Sus scrofa: one gene and its partner. The protein of the gene in region 1 interacts with the protein of each later gene in a pairwise test. Links are inferred from orthologs where the notes say so. Each region holds a gene or a part of one and is shown on either strand. Other genes may lie near its edges. The genes, in order: NIPBL and MAU2.

Evidence for each region.
Region 2: the proteins of NIPBL (region 1) and MAU2 interact in binary tests that used the Homo sapiens proteins (3 or more experiments, as listed by UniProt). The link is inferred for Sus scrofa from reciprocal best matches to the Homo sapiens genes NIPBL and MAU2.

The regions. Positions count from the first base shown.
Region 1 is NC_010458.4:22,358,144-22,361,538, reverse strand, and holds part of NIPBL (nipped-B-like protein), read right to left. Parts: coding exon 3,156-3,395; intron 827-3,155; coding exon 652-826; intron 1-651. UniProt on the Homo sapiens protein: Plays an important role in the loading of the cohesin complex on to DNA. Forms a heterodimeric complex (also known as cohesin loading complex) with MAU2/SCC4 which mediates the loading of the cohesin complex onto chromatin.
Region 2 is NC_010444.4:58,546,553-58,550,372, forward strand, and holds part of MAU2 (MAU2 chromatid cohesion factor homolog), read right to left. Parts: intron 3,583-3,820; coding exon 3,479-3,582; intron 2,876-3,478; coding exon 2,798-2,875; intron 2,180-2,797; coding exon 2,114-2,179; intron 828-2,113; coding exon 741-827; intron 1-740. UniProt on the Homo sapiens protein: Plays an important role in the loading of the cohesin complex on to DNA. Forms a heterodimeric complex (also known as cohesin loading complex) with NIPBL/SCC2 which mediates the loading of the cohesin complex onto chromatin.

The DNA of each region.
Region 1 (3,395 bases):
GGTAGAAGGATGACTTATCATGGTTTTTTCTTTTATGAAGTACAAACCATGTAATCCACTATGTTAAAAAAAAACAAGCAAACACATATATGGGCATAGCTTTTCCCTAAAACTTGCCTAAAAACTTTTAGCTAAAATATGGAGTTCCCAACGCAGCTTACTGGAGTTCTCATCTCTGGAGCTCTGGGATGCAGGTTCAATCCCTAGCCCAGCACAGAGGGTTAAGGATTCAATGTTGCTGCAGCTGTGGCACAGGTTGCAACTGTGGCTCAGATCTGATCCCTGGCCCAGGAATTCCATATGTTGTGGAGTGGCCAAAAAAAAAAAAGAAGAACCCAATGTGGTGTCTGTGACGATGAGGGGTCTTATTCAGTGGGTTAAGTTTCTGTCTTTGCCATAAGCTACAAAAACAAAAAACTTTTCACTAAAATAAAGTTATTGGTAGGCTGGCATTTCCTAAGAAAAAACAATGATGGGGCAGTGCGTGAAATGGGAAAGGCAAGCTCAAAGTAACTCATTAGAACTATAGAGATAAAATTAATGGTTCATAAAGCTTACCTTCAATGTAAAGGAGGTAGCTATTTCTCTCAAAAGAATTTACTTTACAAATGCTATTATCAGAAGGAAACATTTTTCAGTTTTACTACTTACATCTAGATACTGTTTTACTATACTCCTCTTCACATCTTCAGTGATTTTGGAATTAGCCATATCACTCCGCAGGAAGTCCAGTGTTTGTTTGGGATGAAAATGAACTCCTGTTTTTCGGTTTATCGCCTTATCATACACTTTTGCAGATTCAGATGGAGAGTATTTCTGAATTTTACTGTTTTGGGAAAATAAAATCATTAATTTAACATTTTTTCCCAGGTACTTACATTAAAATTGATTCCAGTTAAATTTTATTTACTTATAATTAAACTTTCTATCATTTAGATTTCAACCAGTGAAACTGTATATATAACATTAAGTGTAATTAAAAAAAGGAAAGCAAATACATAAAAACAAAGGTTTAAAAAAAAAAAACGCATCAGATCCGAGCCACACTTGCAACCAACACTACAGCTGCGGCTGTATCCTTAACCCACTGTGCCAGGCCAGGGATCGAATCTGCGTCTCAGTGCTCCAGAGACACCGCCAATCCCACTATGCCAGAGCGGTAATTCCATGTGGGACAGTTTTAATATACTTTCTCAATACTACCTAACTGATTTACCTTGTTTCACTTTTTTGTGCCCCAACTATTCATTCTCTGTACAGCAGCCAGAGTGACGGTTTACAAACCTGTTTCACAGTCTTAACAACTGTTTCAAAATCTTTCCAACTCCTTAGTACTTCCCCAAGACTTAACAATGTTTTAAATCATTCTGAATTACAGGCATACCTTGGAGACATTGTGCATTTGGTTCCAGATCATTGCAATAAAGCAAATACCACAATAAAACAAATCACACAAATTTTTTGGTTTCCCAGTGTGTATAAAAATTATTTACATTTACACTATACTAGTCTATTAAGTGTGCAATAGCATTATGTCTGGAAACAACACACAGGTTAACTAAAAAAAAAGTTACTGCTAAAAAAATGCTATCATCTGGGAGTTCCTGTCGTGGCGCAGTGGTTAACGAATCCAACTAGGAACCATGACGGTGTGGGTTCGATCCCTGCCCTTGCTCAGTGGGTTAATGATCCGGTGTTGCCGTGAGCTGTGGTGTAGGTCGCAGACGCGGCTCGGATCCTGCGTTGCTGTGGCTCTGGCGCAGGCTGGCAGCTACAGCTCCGATTCGACCCCTAGCCTGGGAACCTCCATATGCCGCAGGAGCGGCCCAAGAAATGGCAAAAAGACAACAACAACAAAAAAAGCTATCATCTGAGCCTTCAGTGAATTGTAATCTTTTTGCAATAGCAACAAAGATCAGGATCACAGACCAGCATAAAAAATTTAATAGTAGTGAAAAACATTTAAATATTTTAAGAATTACCAAAATGTGACACAGTGGCACAAAGTGAACAAATGCTGTTGGAAAAATGGTGACGTTAGACTTGCCCAACACTTTGCTCAAAATTTCAATTTTTAAAAAACACTCAATATCTGCAAAGTGCAATTAAACAAGGTATGCCTGTAGTTGCCAACATTTAACATCGTCACTTCTCATGAAAATCTAGATTATCCAGCTTCTCTTGAAAAGATGGAAACTCTGGCCACACTGTACCCACTCTTTCATGGGAACAAACTGATGAACATCTGAGTAACATCTGAACCCTCTGGATGCAACATGTTCTTTCCATTTTGCCACTGATCTTCTATCAGGTCTACTTTACTCATTGCACTATCATCCCTATGAACACTTGACTTCAGAAGGTTTCAATGAATGTGAAAAATGTTCAAAATTCCATAGGTACAGGGAGAAAAGAGATACCTATAGTGACTACTGGTGGGTAAAATTTATAAGGCATTCTCAATTTATTAGTACTTTTCTATCTCCTAGAGCATATTAAAGATTACTGGGTTCTGTTAGAACTCAGTCTAGCTGGTCTGCACCTTTTCTTCATTCATTGCTCTTTAAAAACTTAAATTTGCAATCTATTTTAAGATTAGCCTAACTCTCTAATACCTTTTAAAGGAAATCAACACAATAAGGCTTTTAATTTATAATGCATATCTTCAGTTAGAGAATACGGTTTTTCCCCAATAACAGATTGGACAGTAGTATGTCATATTATACAACAAAATGCTATATAGCAATAAAAAGGAACAAACTCCTTTTTTAAATAGCAGGATTTTTAATATTCAGCATGCAATCAAAAATGGGTTTCAGGAGTTCCCATTGTGGCTCAGTGGTTAACAAAACCGACTAGGAACCATGAGGTTGCGGGTTCGATCCCTGCCCTTGCTCAGTGGGTTAAGGATCTGGTGTTGCCATGAGCTGTGGTATAGGTCGCAGATGTGGCTCAAATCTGGCATTGCTGTGGCTGTGGTGTAGGTCAGCAGCTACAGCTCTGATTTGACCCCTAGCCTGGGAACCCTCATGTGCTGCGGGTATGCCCTAAAAAGACAAAAGACCAAAAAAAAAAAAAAAAAAAAGGGGGGTTTTATATTTGTTTATTATTTGAAAAGAATAAAGTGTTTTCTTTCAATGCTTATATAATCTTACCTATCAGAAAAGCCACAGAGATTCTTCAAATGTTGTTTTAACATCAGAAGCAATAAAATACCCTGCGAGACATTTGCAAACTCAATTAAAGGAGCTGAATTTTCTGGCAAACATTTCATCACTGAATTTATGTCATCTTCTGAATCGGAATCGGAATCGGAATCTACTCGTTTCCGTGACTTCCGAGGCCTGGAGACTTCTTCTTCACTCTCGCTTGACTCATTTTCCTTACTAGGAGAT
Region 2 (3,820 bases), on another chromosome or scaffold:
GAAAAGAAAAGAAAAAGAAGAAGAAAGGGTGGAGACATGTAGCTAAATCTGAGATACTCTTGAGGAAGGATCCCAGGGCTAGGGGAGAATCAAAGGGATGAGGAGGTGCTGCAAGGGGAAGCTAGTGGGAGGGTACTTATCCTGCGAGGGCAAGCTCTGGACTATCTCTCCACCCCAGCTGCCTAGGACGCCAGAACAACCTAGGGGCCTATGCAGATGGCAGTCCAAGCTGTTGTTCCTCAGAACTGAGCTGCGAGGGCTCACTGACATTCTAGAACAGACAGCTCAAGGTAGAAGAAATTGTTGTTTTTTCCCTTTCAATCGCCCTGAGGCATATGGAAGTTCCTGGGACAGGGATGAGTCTGAGCTGGAGCTGTGAACTACTCCACAGCTGCAGCAATGCTGGATCCTTAACGCACTGTGTCCAGCTGGGGATTGAACTGGCGTCTCCACAGAGACAAGCTGGACCATTAATGCACTGTACCACAGTGGGAACTCCAAGTTGTTTCTGAGGGAACCAACAAAACTTGGCTCATTTTCAGTAGGGAGAAGGGTTCATTTCTGTTTTAGACTTAGCTTCCCCCAGCCATGACTATGCTCTGACTGCATGAGACACCTTGCTGGAAGGCAAGAACCCTGGGGTTACTGAGATTTACTGGTGCCCAGGACAATACTCCCCACCCCCCCCCTCCAAATAAGAGTTGAAAGAAAGGATACCAAACATGAAGCATGTCACCTACTACCTCTTGGTGTCTATTTCCTTCCCGTATATACACACTCGCCAGGTTGGTCACGATGAAGGCCCACAGCTCCTGGTGATTGGTGAGCTAGAATGGGAGACAAAACGTGGTAGGGGGCTGAGCTCAGCACAGTCATGTCAGAGAGGCTACTTGGAGGTATCAGAGTCATGTCTTTACTCTTTTCATCCCAAACACACAGACCTTGCCTCCAACATCCAGGAACAACAAAAACTGTTAGTTCTTTTCATTATAAAACCATCATCCATGTTATGGAGAATTCAGGAAACAGAGGAAGAAAAAAAAAAAAAAAAGCCTCCTTTGATCCTGCCCTCAGAACACATTACTGTTTGGGCTATTCTCTACTGTCTCAGTACTGACACATGGGTGGCCCATCCCTCCACACGACAGGTAGTGACCCCAGGATCCCAGCATATGCTGATACAGCAGAGGAACACGCTGGTCCTGCGGGAGGCAGGTCCCTGCCAGGAAGGCTGCTGAAGCTGTTAAGAGGCTAGACGGCTCATGGTGGACAGACCACTGTCCCCAGTACTTCTGGGGAACAAGAATGGCCACAAGAGAGACCAACCTGGATGGGCTGAGCTTTCCCAGTGGGGCTGAGAGAGCATAGCTGTGCAAGAGGCCAAGGGTGCCTAGGAAGCACAGACCACACCTGGAGGACCCTGGAAGGTGTCAAGAAGGTCCAGAGGGTCTCCTGACCAGAGCAAAAATACTCCAAGATATTTATCCCAGGACCACAGAAAAAGTATGTTTGGGGTCAGGGGGAAGCGGGGTTTGGGCTCTAGTCCTGGCTGCACCATCTTCCTCCTAGGCTGGTGGCAAGGACTCCCTGGGGCACACACCATTCATTGGGAATTCTGATGTTGAACCAAAAAAGTAGCAGCCATTTATAGGAAGTGGGATGGGGAAGAACTTCATAGGGCCATGGGCAATGTGGGCTGATCCTGACACACTGCAGTGAGCAGCAGCAGCTGACCAAGGTCCCAAGCAGCTGTGACAGGACTGGGAACCATGAGTGAGAGCAGCTGAACAGGCCATGGCACCGGCTGGAGCCTGCCTTGAACAGCTTCCCCATGGCTGCCCTCTTGAGTTGGCTGAGGAAACCCCGCCCCAAGCTGGCCAGAAACACCCTCGCTCATCAAGCTGTGCTGCCAGTGCTGGCCTCGTCTGCCTCTGAGTAGCCCAAGAAGGCCCTGCATAAATGGTACATCACGGTCACAGCAGGTGTCAGGCTGAAAGTTGTGGAGTCACCTGCTGACCATGGTTTTGTGTGGCTGTTGTCCTCATCACAGACCATACCCGACTGCTTACTGAGAAGCACCGCCTGCCCCATAAAGTGAGGGCCGGCACCTTACCCGCAAAGCTGTGGTGAACTGGGCTTCTGCGTTGTCCATGCAGTTGACAGAGACACAATACAGGCCCTGGAAAAAGAAGGTGCTGAGGGCTCAGAGCCACACGCAGCTTGCCCAGAGCTGCACGGCTGCACCCAGAAGAGCCTGACAAGTGGTGACTCTACTGAGCCAACTATATCTAAGCTTACTTTTTTTTTTCAGGGCCACACCTATGGCGCATGGATATAAGTTCCCAGGCTAGGGGTTGAATCAGAGCTATAGCTGCTGGCCTACACCACAGCCACAGCAACACAGGATCCAAACCATGTCTGCAACCTACACCACAGCTCATGGCAATGCTGGATCCCCGACCCACTGAGCAAGGTCAGGGATTGAACCTGCATCCTCATGGATACTAGTCAGATTTGTTTCCACTGCACCACAACAGAAACTCCCTATATCTAAGCTTTATCTTGACAAACTAGGAGGAAGATGGCCTGTTTAATTATTCCTGCCTCCTGGGACCAAAGTCAAGTTGGACTTGATGAAATGCTTGACAGAATGAGGCCCACTAGGAAGATTCTAAATCTTGCGTGGAGTGATGGATATGCAGTTATTCACTGAAAGGATTCAAGATCCTGACTGGGGTAGTGGTCAGAGGTTACTCACTGGGGTGGGGCCAGGGATGGATAGCCCTCACACACTCACCAGCAGTGTATGCAGCTGTGCTGCATGGTTGGAGAAGAGCCGGGGGGACTGCTGGCACAGCTGACAGACCTGGGAGATCTGCCGGGAGAGAGAATGTCTGATGTCACAGGGTCTGTAATGTGGGACCCAGTGTCCTGGCAGCAGTGGGGAGAGACCCAAAGCTGGTGGGTGTGCCCTTACCCCACAAAGGCACAAAGTCCCAGCAGATGTTCCCACTTGTGAGGATTAGGTGCAGCCTTGACCTCTTTGAGGCCAGTGACCCTAGTCTGTTACCCGTCTTCACCTCCCTTTCCAACTTGGGTCTCAGCCATACAGCACCTTCACCCTACTCAAGGCCCAGCACCCTTTCAAAAAGGTGGCAATCGGGGATTATGAATTACAGGACAGGAGGGGGTGTTAGGATTGTCATCAGAGGATTCTAAATCCCAAGACCCCATGTTCCTTGGGCATGCAAACTTTCAGGGAAAAAACAGTTTATCTGTATCAGATTCTCTGATCAACTGTGTCCAGGCAGGGCTATGGACTGCCAGGTTAAGCCAAATGACATACACAGACATGTCTTGCCGATACACACCGGACACATTTACACTCTCCTGTGTGACACCCTCCACAACCCAGCACACTCAAACCACCCTACCCCTCAGCCTTCCCATTCTGTGTGTGCAGCCTCCAGTGCCTTACCTCCTGCAGGGCAGTGGCCTTGTGTCCTGTGACGAGTCTGCACATGATGATGTGCTCGAGCAGGATCACTTGGAAGGAGGACAGAATGGGGCTGCAGTCGAGCACTGGGGGAGAGAGGCAGGAGTGAGCTCTTGAAATGCAGGTTGAGGAGACAACTGAGGAGACACTGACCTTGGGTCCTGACTGACTCCTGGGCCTTCGAGCCCTCCTGCACACCGGCACCTCAGCTACCTGGGGCTGAGCGCACTTGCTCTGCTAGGCGCTGGCCCAGCATCCAGTCTGTCACTTTACTCAGTTCCAATGGGACCCTCAAACAAAAGGGTTCATCTCCCTGTCCAGGTG